Linked DNA regions of Oryctolagus cuniculus. The protein of the gene in region 2 interacts with the protein of the main gene of each other region in a pairwise test. Links are inferred from orthologs where the notes say so. Each region holds a gene or a part of one and is shown on either strand. Other genes may lie near its edges. The genes, in order: PRPF38A, SDCBP2 and C6H1orf35.

Region 1 (3,600 bases), on a different chromosome or scaffold from region 2:
CTGACTCTATAAATAAATACATAAGTAAATCTTTAAAAAAAAAGATTAATATTTTATTTATTTGGAAGGGAGAGTTACAGAGAGAGAAGAGACAGAGCACGAGAGAGATCTTCCATCTGCTGGTTCATTTTCCAAATGGCTGCAACAGTGGGGCTGGGCCAGGCAAAAGCCGGGAGCCCAGAGCTTCTTCCTGATTTCTTACAGGAGTGTAGGGCCCAAGAACTTGGGCTATCCTCCACTGCTTTCTTTCCCAGGCGCATTAGCAGAAAGCTGGATGGGAAGTGGAGCGCAACTGAGTCTCCAACTGGCGGACCCATGTGGGATGTCTGCATCACAGATGGAGGCTTAACCTCTACACCCCAAAGTCGGCCCCAGAAATAAACCTTAAAAAAAACAAAAAACCAATGAGACACGGTAACTTATTATCTCACACCGGAAACCGTTGACATTCACAACCCATCTAATATGCCAGGGAAGGGGATATCGTTAATCATATTGATTGACAGCTCAAAGCAGACCTAATCATCGTAGTTTCACAAACAACACACAGGATAAGAATCTCGCCATCTTTTCCCACTCAGTCCAGTGCTTTTTCCAGCTGTCACGACAGAAGGTCCCCCTACTGCGGGTTGGACTGGAAGTATCACTGAGTTTCCCTCCTGGAAAGAAGATGCGGGGGAACCCGGCAGTTCAGAGCAGCTCATCTTCAAGAAGACGACCTGGATAATGAGCCCTGGCCGCTAGGTCACAAACGACCCCGAGCTCCCTCTCTGGCCCCAACTACTCTATCCGTAAAATGGAGCGATAGCATCCGCTCCGCCGCTCTGCAGTGTTTCGCACACTACAGCTCAAAGACGGAAACAACGTGAGTCCTGGACAAAGGCAACGCAAATGGAAGGAAAGACTAAAATCCTCAGTGAAGAGATTAAGGGCGCTGAAGGCAGGCACGCACGCGCCTCTCTACTGTTGGCTTCTGGTTCCCCAGGGCGAACTGTGCGTCCTTAGCGGAGCAGGAAGCCTTCTAGGAATCCGACGTGAAAGAGGAACTCTCCTAGCGGGAGTGCGAACAGTGGCTGTCTGCTGCCGGGTGAATTAAGGATAAATGAGTCTACAGAGGAAAACGGCGGTTTTAGGGGCTCAGGTCGCCTTCCAGTCCGCGCGATGCACACTCACCGGGCGCCAACACTTCTCGCTCGAACCGCAAGCCGTTCGCTTCCCTCCGCTCCTGCTTCGGGAGCTCCGGGGGCTGCAGCAACTCTCCACAGCAACTTTCCACAGCTGCGATCCTCCTTTCACAGCCACCGGTCGCACGCGAGAGCCAAAGCTACCGCTCGGGTAGGAATAGAAGGAATGTGGAGAAAAAAAAATTCCCGCCAAACGGCGTAGCCCCGCCCCCAGACCGCCCTCGCGTTACGCCACTGGCCCGGTCGCCCCGCCCACCCCGGGGGACGCACGGCGTACTGCCGCCTACGTGCGGCGGCCATGGTGGATCCGCGGCGCAACGCGCCTCGCGGGCGTTCTCCGGGCTGTGGTGTTTCCGCTTTCAAGATGGTCGTCTAAGCAACCGAAGAGGCTTCCTCCTCCTCCTCCCCCTCTGAGACTCGGCGGTTTTTTTTAACTCTGGATGTGACGCATTAAAGAACACGACGGAAGTGGGGCTGAAGGCGTTCTAAAATGGCGAACCGTACTGTGAAGGATGCGCATAGCATCCACGGCACCAACCCTCAGTACCTGGTGGAGAAGATCATTCGGACGCGAATCTATGAGTCCAAGTACTGGAAAGAGGAGTGCTTTGGGCTTACGGGTGAGCGGGATCGCGCGAGGCGTGGCTCCTTAGTCCCGACTGGGCGCCGGGGGGCTGGGGGAGAGCGTGTCAGTCGTTCAGACAGGAGCGCCAGCTGTTTCCTCGTCTTTTGTGGATCGTGGGGGGCACAGATGAATCTGATAGGGCCTCGCCGTATTCTGAAGGGTTTCTCGAGTTCTTGGAGTCATTCCCCGCTTAACGGTGGCGTGCAGGGTTCTGAGCAATCTTCGGCTCAGGAACCTACTGTAGCTCCTTGACGTATCCTCTTGAGCTATCAAAGGGCCGCAAGTGTCCGACACAGTATTCTTCATCTCAGTGCCCTTAACTGCGGGCCAGCTCACTATTTCCGGGTGCGAGTCCTAATTTGAATTGCAGTACTGAGGACTTTGAAGCTAGTCTTTTAATCTTCTTTACCCCCCATTTTCCTCAAGTGGAAATGGGGACAGTGCCAGATACTTCCTCACGACATGAGAAGATTGAGATAATGTGAAATGCTTAGATATCCGGGCATATAGTGATATTTCAGTGTGTATGGATTACTGTCATCATTAGTATTACCATTAAAACACACTTGTTCTATTACACTACTGGTGACTTCTGAGGAGCGCTGAACCTTGAACCAATGCCACTTCCAACCAGGAAAATCTTACCCCTAATATGATTGAGGTGTTGCTATTTGTTTTTGTTTTTTAGCTGAACTGGTGGTCGATAAAGCCATGGAGTTAAGGTTTGTGGGTGGTGTCTATGGTGGCAACATAAAACCGACTCCTTTTCTGTGTTTAACCTTGAAGATGCTTCAAATTCAACCTGAGAAGGATATCATTGTAGAGTTTATCAAAAATGAAGATTTCAAGTGAGTGCAATATTGACTAATACAAAAAGTTCAGTGGTTCAAAATTGGGATTTTGTTAAGAGTTCTTTACACAACATTTTAACATTTCTCATTTCCACAAAGAGTTCCACTCTAGGTTTTTTTTCTTAAGTTTGTGTTTTCTCTGTTCTGATTGTGATAATCTGCTTTACTTTCTTAGTCATGATCATTTTCCCCCTTTAATAGAATTTCCCATTCCCTGAACATATATTATGTAGAAGTGAGGGCCTAACAGGATAAGCACTGGACACTCACAAGTGGAGAAAACAACAGAGGGTAGTAATTATGAGATGTTAGATCTAGGTTCATGTCCAGACTCTTAATAATTGTAACCTTGGAAAAGTTACTTAATTTTCAAATCTTTGCTTTCTTTTTCTGTAAAAAGGAGACAAATACCTACACAGAGGATTTATGTGAGAGTTGAAGGTGGTGCTTGCAAATTTGTCAGCACAGTGCCTGTTGCATGGAAAACAACTGGAAAGTATCAGCTGCTCTTAACTATTTTATCCCATTCTCAAGAAGCTCACAGAGCAGTATAGAGACAGACATGATAATGGAATATTGTGTATTATATCCTAAGGGCTTTACATATAATTATTCATTTGTCTTCCTAGCAACACTGTAAAAGTATTATCCCTTTATTACAAAGTAGGAAACTGAGGCAGAGATTAAATAATTTGTCTATGGTCAACAGCTAGTAAATGGCAAAACTGACTCCAGAACTCATATTTACTAGTCTCCTTCTCATATAAAGAAGCTGTTGGGTTTCAAAAGCCTGGTAGTTATCTATGTGGAGAGCTGAGTAAGTAGTTGGATATAGGAGGAAGGGAAAAGGAAGGAATCTTTCAAAACATTGGCAGCTACAAAATAGCTGATTTTTGTTAGGCACTTATAATATGCTTTAGCACTTTGACCATTTCTTATT
Region 2 (3,739 bases):
GAGGTGGGGAGGGGTCATCACTCTCGTCGTCGTCTTTGTCCTTTGTTCAGACAGAGTTGTACCTGCCTCAGACAGCTCTGAATTAAAGCATGAAAACATGGCGAGGCCCTCGGCTATTTCTTTACATCGCGGTGGTTTTCTAAGGAGGCGGGGCTGCGGGGCTGGTGTCTTCCCCAGCACAGGGAAAGCGAGGTGGCAGCCTCTGCCCTGATGCAGGGGGAAGCAGAGAGCCCCTAAGGCCCTGCAAGGCGCGGGGTGCCACTCCCATGGGAAGTCAGGCACAGGGTCTACAGCCCCCTCCCTCCACCCACCCTTGGCGTAAGATGCTGCCGGGCACCGTGAGGACAGCACACTGCCTTCCCCAGCGGCCTCTGAGGTGGGTTCTCATGCCCATTTCCAGATGCAGAAAGCAGCCAGGGCCACTCTGGGGGACCCCCAAAGCTAGTGCTTCCCCTCCCAGCCTTGCTGCCCCACAGTCCTCACAGTCCCCCCAGTTCCAGCCATCCCTGCGCCAAGCCAGCAGGCAGCAAGTGACGGACAGAACCAAATCACCGCTCTTGGGGGCAGCGACGCAGCCTGGGTCAGTTTCAAAGAAAACCAGCCCTGGCTTGTCATGAGACAATGCATTTCTGTGATCTTTGAGAAGAAGATCTTGTTTGAAATCAAATCTTTAATCAGAAGACAGTGAGGATTACGGCTGCGTGCAGACCGTGTGGAAGATCACATAAGGGCAAAGCAACGCTCTCACTGAGAGTTCTCAACACTGTTTTCCTGGTTCAGGCGGAATCTTGAAAAGTGTGCAGCTGGCTGCCTACATGCCCAGCATTTAAACCAGGACCAAGTGCCTCAGCCCAGCCAAGTGTCTCAGACTCCCAGGAGAGCTTTGTGCATAATGGAAGGATCCCTTCCCGAGCTCATGTCCACCCGCCTGGAACGCTGCCCACCCCTACGGTGGCCCCAACCCCAGGCAGAAGCCAGCTGCAATCTGTCTGTCAGCCCAGGGCAGCTGCCCCCACCTGCAGGACGGTGGGCAGGCCCGAGGCCTCGTGGCTTCAGACATCTGGGATGGAGTGGTCCATGGTGCGGTGGAGCAGGGTTGGGGACAACCTGGAGATAGCAAGAGTGACAGTGGGCAAGGCTGCCAGGTCCTCCCCTTGCCCACCCCGCAGAGCCTGTGCACCCACTGTGGGCCTTCACTCCCAGATCTGAGACCAAATCTCCAGCAGCCAACAGCCCCCCTTGGAGGAAGAGAAAGAGGAGGGGAGGGCAGGGCAGGCCCAGCTGGGCCGGGAGGTGCAAGGTGAACTGCAGGCAGGTGGCAGGCTTACCTTTTGACCATGTGCTCATAGATCACAGAGGGGATGATGGTCAGGGTGATGACATTCCCAGCTGTGCCCAAAATCTTTGTGATATCTTTGTCCTGAAAAGGAAACCAGTGAGCAGTCACTCTTGGGAACCAGGAGCCTGGGCAGCTCTGCAGGCCCCTGTGTGGATGCTAGAGGGTGGCACTGACACCTGATGCCAGGCTGCCTCCGACCCTGGCAGGTGAGGTCTTTCTTGAGCAAGACTGTGGGCTCCCACCTCAGGACCCGGGTCAAGTAGGTGGGCCGCTCCCCAGACTCTCCTGAAGGCACGGGGTGCACACATGCTGTGGCCCCAACACACAGCACAGCCACACAAACCTCATTCTCCTTCCCTTTCCATCCCATCTCTCTGGCACCAGGAACACTTGGGTTCTGGCCCAAAGCACAAGGGAGTAACCATCCAGTGGGAGACATCAGGTGCACCTGCCTGCCCTAGGACCCTGCTGTCTGGCCAGCCTGATCCAGCCTGGGGACCCCCTTCCTCTTATGTGTCATTGACAGAAGCCACTCAGATCATGGTGAGAGAACAAGAAATGAAAAGGCACAGCGGGGGAGGGGTTAGCCTAGTGGTTAAGACACCTGCATCCCACAGCCAAGTACCTGAGTTCAAGTCCTGCCTCCAGCTCCTGGCTCCAGCTTCCGGCTAATGCAGACCGTGGGAGGCAGCAGGTGATAGCTCAAGTACTTGGGTCCCTGCCACCCACATGGGAGACCTGGGCTGAGCTCCTAGCTCCTGGCTTCACCTGGCCCAGCCCCGTCACTGTATGCATTTGGGGAGTGAACCTGCAGATGGAAGCATTCTCTCCATCTCCTTCTTTCTCTCCTGTCCCTTTGCCTCTCAAATAAATATATAAATGATTTTTAAAAGATAATTAACAGTTACTGAGCAAGGAGTGCCAGACAGTCCAAACCCTGAGGCTAGGGCCTGGTAGAGCCTCTGGCCCCAACTCCAGCCGAGCGCCCTGCACTTCGCACCTGTGCCATCCAGATATGCTCACCTTAGTTGTTCCAGAACAAAGAAGAAGGTGTGCTAATAAGGACTGGTAATGGCCGCAGGGTGGAAATACCAAACTTTGCAAAGATAAACAATCCCGAGACGCAGAGCTGCAGTGGCCCAAGCAAAGGATGAATCCAGTCCCTAAAAGCAGGCCCTGTGGTGCAGTGGACAAGGTCATGACCACATCCTGGGCCACCAGTGAGAAGGACAGAGCCACAGCTCTGAATGGCTGCTCGGAGAAGAGCTGAGATCACAGAGCTGGAAGCTTTGAAAGGAGCAGGGGTCTCTGTGGTGGGAAAGCTCAAGCTGTTCAGAACCTGTAACCCTGAACAGACGTTTTAACTCTGGTGAGCTTCCTGGGCAGCACCCTGCCCGACCCTGGACGACGGGCCAGGGGGTGGCAGCAGGAGACACCCTGGGCAGGCGTGAGCCACCTGAACAAGTCTCCAAGGCAGTGAGGAGCCTGCCAAGCACACAGAGGCAGACTTGTGCCTGGGTGGCTCGGTGATGGCCCCGGTGGGGAGCAGACGACCAGATGAGAAGACTGAGCCATGCAGGCCCTTCTGCAGAGGGAGCTGTGGCTGCAGGGTGGGAAGGGGCACTCACAGAAATCACAGGCCAAATGAGGAGCCACTCTCGGCTCATGTGGTGCTGGGTTCACAGGTTCGCATGGCTCCTCCCTGCCCGTGGGCCCAGAAGACACTCGGCCTCCAGCCCTGGCCCTACACCCCCTCACCCCCTGCTCCTTCTCACTTTGTAGCGATGCAACACCCCACTCCTGAGATGAGCACCATTTTCTAAAAGACTCCTATGAACAGGGGTATGGAGGCCACCACCAAGGGCCACCAAAGGAAAGGGGTGGCCATGCAGCCCGCGGCCACCTGGGCACACTCATCCTCGCCTTCTTCCCGTGGCACGGCTGGCCGCCCAGGTCAGTACACAGCTGCTGTCTATTGAGTGCTTCCTATGCACTGGGCACCCTGTTTTGTCTCCTGCTCACGGCAGCCTGAGGGTGTGGAAGCAGCAGCCCTGCGGCGTCGCCTACCTTGAGTCCGATGACATTCTGCCCGTTGATCTCACACACGTAGTGGTTGGTGAGCAGCCCATTGCGGGCTGCGGAACTCCCTTTGATCAAGGAGGTGATCTTGCCCTTCTTGATGAAGAAGCCCACATGGCCTGCGCTGTCCTTGTGCATGGTCACAGTCCGCTGGAATGGCCTGGCGGGGGATACATGGTGAGCTGGGCCTGGCTGGGGACACAGCTTGGGTCACAATGAGCGGTCCTCGGGCCTGGCCACTCACCTGTCACGAACAACCATGACGATCTTCTCGGCTAACGCCTTCTTCAGCACGCGGTGGACTTTGTCTGTGCTCCACCC
Region 3 (3,816 bases), on a different chromosome or scaffold from region 2:
ACTGAGTCACAGGCTCAGAGTGACGACAGCGACCCAGGGCCAGCTCTGAGCAGCTTCTTGGTTGCTCTGGACTTTCTTGTTAGTAATGTTACAGCAGTTTAAGGCACACACTTAAACGAGTTTATGGGGCCAGCACTGTGGTTAAGCACAGGTTAAGCCTCTGCCTGTGACAGCAACATTCCATATGGCTATCGGTTCGAGTCCCAGCTGCTCCTCTTCAGTCCAACTCTGCTGCGGCCTACGAGAGCAGTGGAAGATGGCTCAAGTGCTCGGGCCCTTGCACCCACGTGGGAGACCCTGAAGAAACTCCTGGCTCCTGATCCGCGCAGCTCCAGCCGTTGTGGACATTTGGGGAGTGAACCAGTGGATGGAAGACCTCTTTGTGTCTCCCTCTGTCTGTAACGCTGCCTCTCAAATAAATAAATAAATAAATCTCTTAATTTTTTATGTGATAGAACGGGGCGGAGCGGAGGGCGACAGAGAGAGAAAGCAGGAGCCCTCCATCTGCTGGTTCACTCCCCCAAACACCCGCAGCAGCCGGGGCGGGGCGGCAGCCGCAAGCGGGTGCCCCGCGCCGCGGCCAGCAGCGAGCTGGCGGGAGCGCGGCGCCAGGCCGAGCAGTCGCCGGGCTGCTCACAGCCCGCTGGCCTGCCACCTGACCCTGTCTGGGGGCTAGGGGTCTGCGGGCCCCCAGACGCTGCTGGAACGCCTCGTGCAGAATGGCTGCGAGGCCGGCCTCCGCTTCAACTTAGCTGAGCCCCCTACGGGGAATCAGGCTGTCTCCGAGAGACCCCTGCTATTGGCATGCAGTATGTGGAACCCGGTCCAATGGGCACCCCCACAGAAAGACCCAACGAAGACAGCAAAGCCTTAAAACCGTGTGCACTTCCCGAAAGCCTTGCAAAACGGGAAGCAAACTTCCCACTTCTTTGCAAGCTGTTCCAGCTTATTTCCATACTAAGCTGAGGAAAAGAACCCACCAAACTCGCTCCGGTAACCGCTGTCCCCTCCCGCGACGCCCAGCGGCTGCGGGGAGAGCGCGGCCTGGGGGGCAGGGGCCCTCGCCGGAGCCGCACCCGGAACCTGGTCCTCCTGGGTCTGTATCGCAGCGATCGGCGGGGACTTCAGGCAGCGGCCCCGCGCCCACCCGGGCTCCACAGCCCCTCCAGCGCCCGCTCGGCGACGGGGCACTGCGCAGGCGCGGGGGCCCAGTCGGGCGGTGCCTGCGTCGGTGCTCGCTGCGAGGTGGGTGGTGGTGCGCAGGCGCGCGGGGCCGGGCCGGGGCGTGACGCGCTGGCAGGTGCGACGCCCCGGGGCCCGGCGCAGGCGTGACGTCGCGGCGCGGCTAGGCGCGGCGACAGGCCAGAAGCCGGCGACAGTCATCGGGGCCCGTGCGGCGGCACTGTAGCCATGTTCGGGTCCAGCCGCGGCGGGGTGCGCGGCGGGCAGGACCAGTTCAACTGGGAGGACGTGAAGACCGACAAGCAGCGGGAGAACTACCTGGGCAACTCGCTGATGGCGCCGGTGGGCCGCTGGCAGAAGGGCCGCGACCTCACCTGGTACGCCAAGGGCCGGGAGCCGCGCGCAGGACCCAGCCGCGAGGAGGAGCTGGCGGCCGTGCGGGAGGCGGAGCGCGAGGCGCTGCTGGCCGCGCTGTGAGTGTCCCCGGGGGCGGCGGAGGGCGCGGGCGGAGGGCGCGGGCGGTCGACGGCGCCCTGACGGTGCCCCGGCCCTCTCGCAGAGGCTACAAGAACGTGAAGAAGCAGCCCACCGGCCTGAGCAAAGAGGTAACCGCAGGCGGGGGCTGAGCTGGGGGCCGAAACGGGGGTCGCGGGGGCGGGGGCCGGGCGGCGCCGGGCCCTCTCTCCCGGCCCTGTGCGCACCCCGCAGGACTTCGTGGAGATCTGCAAGCGGGAAGCCGGCGACCCGGAGGAGAAGGGCGTGGATCGGCTGCTGGGGCTGGGCAGCGCCAGGTGCGGCAGTCCCGGGGAGGAGGAGCCGGGTGCCCAGCGGGGAGCAGGGTCCGGGCGGTGATCCAGGGGCGTCCTCACCTCCGTGTCCCCGCAGTGGCTCCGCGGGCCGAGTGGCGCTGTCCCGGGAGGACAAAGAGGCTGCCAAGCTGGGGCTGTCGGTGTTCACGGTAACCTCTTTGCCCCAGCCCGAACGCGCTGGGGTCCTCGGGGCGGCGGGGGGGGGGGATGGGGGACGCCCAGGGCGGGTCTCCCCGAGGCGTGGGGTCAACCTGCGCGCCCTCGCCAAAGCGCCGCTTCCCCCGCAGCACCACCGCGTGGAGAATGGCGGGCGGGGGACCTCGCCGGCCTCAGCCAGGAGGAAACCGCGCGCCGAGGACAAGGCGGAGCCTGAGTAAGGGGCATTCGTGAGCCGGAGTTCCAGGGGTGTGTGTGTGTAGTAGGGGCGGGGGTGCAGCTCGGGATTTCTTCCCACAGACGTGTGCTCAGAGACGGCACCCACGAAAGGGCCAGGATTGGTTGGCCTTGAGCCCCTCTTTGGGCTGCCCTCGGCGGGCGAGCAGGGCCGGTCTCCATCTCCAGGCTGAATGTGCCTGCCGAGAGGGGTTGGGGTCAGGACAGCTGCTGAGCTGGGGTGAGGCGCAGGCAATGGCGCCTGGCCCTGGCTAGCTTGGGGGGAGGCAGAGCTGAGTCACTGCTGGATCTGCTGGGGAGTTTTTCTGCCACAGTGAGGGTGCGGCTGCTGGCCACACGTGACCGCCCAGCACTTTGAGATGTGGTCTGTTTGGCTGAGGGGCTGACCAGGACCAAGCATGAAGAGGCCGCTACGTTGGTGGCTGCCGCCCTGGACAGCACAAGCGTGTCCATCTTCCTCCCCTGGCCGGGACAGAACTGGCCGCCTGTGCTTGCTGTCTCCTGTCTCCCGAGGGCTGGGGCTGAGGCCCTTTCTGCACCCCCCTTGCAGCTCTGAGAGCCACAGGAAAAGCAAGAAAGAGAAGAAGAGAAAGAAAAAGAAGAAACACAAGAAACAAAAGAAGAAAGACAAGGAGCACAGGAGAGGGGCCACTTCCTCTTCCTCGTCCCCATCCCCTGCTCGGTAGGGCAGCCCAGGGGGAGGGGGACTGGAGCTGGGCTAGATGGGCAGCTGCCGCACGCTGGGTCCTTTCTGAGTGACCATCCCTGTCTGCCCAGGCCTGAACCCCGCCAGCGTGACTGCAACTCCCCCTGCTGCAAGAAGAGGCGGTGTGACAGCAGGGACAGTGGGAGGAGCCCTTCCCGCCAGCGGCACGCCAGAGACTCTGATGCCTGAGACCCTGCCTTGGAGGCCTGTGCAGGTCCCGGGGGCACCCCCCTCAGGGTGCCCTTCCTGTCCAGGTCGAGGCAGAGGGACCCTAGCCTTGCCTGCTGGGCTTCAGGAGCAGGGGCCTGTTTTGTGAACTTCCTCCAGGTCCCAGTGAAGGGAGACTGCGAGCCCAGGGTGTCCCTGTGGCCCTGCCTCAGCCCCCGGCCCTCCCAGCACAGGGGAGCCTGTATTCCAGGACAGGTCTCTTCTCTGTCCTGTCTCCCTCTGCAGCCTCCCCAGGCCGGCCCTCCCGAGGCTGTAGCTATGGCTGAGTGTGGCTACTTCTATTTTTCTTTACATCAGTTTTGTACTTCAGTTTATATTAAAAGCAGAGTGTATCATCACAGAATGGAAGGTGGCCCCAGCACCTGTCCTTCCTGTCCAGGGCCCTGGTGACCGCTAACACCCTAAGGGAGCCCCTCGTGCTCCCACGTGGCCAGGGTAGAACCGTGGGAGGACCCCCCCAGAGGGACGACAGTGTCGGGGCAGCTTGGGAGTGGGGGG

What was found.
Region 1: the proteins of SDCBP2 (region 2) and PRPF38A interact in binary tests that used the Homo sapiens proteins (3 or more experiments, as listed by UniProt). The two-hybrid records come from large-scale screens. The link is inferred for Oryctolagus cuniculus from reciprocal best matches to the Homo sapiens genes SDCBP2 and PRPF38A.
Region 3: the proteins of SDCBP2 (region 2) and C6H1orf35 interact in binary tests that used the Homo sapiens proteins (3 or more experiments, as listed by UniProt). The two-hybrid records come from large-scale screens. The link is inferred for Oryctolagus cuniculus from reciprocal best matches to the Homo sapiens genes SDCBP2 and C1orf35.

The regions. Positions count from the first base shown.
Region 1 is NC_091438.1:120,515,045-120,518,644, reverse strand, and holds the start of PRPF38A (pre-mRNA-splicing factor 38A), read left to right. Parts: upstream 1-1,443; 5' UTR 1,444-1,674; coding exon 1,675-1,804; intron 1,805-2,497; coding exon 2,498-2,657; intron 2,658-3,600. UniProt on the Homo sapiens protein: Involved in pre-mRNA splicing as a component of the spliceosome.
Region 2 is NC_091442.1:27,245,473-27,249,211, forward strand, and holds the end of SDCBP2 (syntenin-2), read right to left. Parts: coding exon 3,663-3,739; intron 3,579-3,662; coding exon 3,407-3,578; intron 1,421-3,406; coding exon 1,329-1,420; intron 1,108-1,328; coding exon 1,053-1,107; 3' UTR 651-1,052; downstream 1-650.
Region 3 is NC_091437.1:246,988-250,803, reverse strand, and holds the start of C6H1orf35 (multiple myeloma tumor-associated protein 2), read left to right. Parts: upstream 1-1,309; 5' UTR 1,310-1,410; coding exon 1,411-1,655; intron 1,656-1,741; coding exon 1,742-1,787; intron 1,788-1,890; coding exon 1,891-1,973; intron 1,974-2,067; coding exon 2,068-2,140; intron 2,141-2,278; coding exon 2,279-2,364; intron 2,365-2,934; coding exon 2,935-3,066; intron 3,067-3,161; coding exon 3,162-3,279; 3' UTR 3,280-3,816.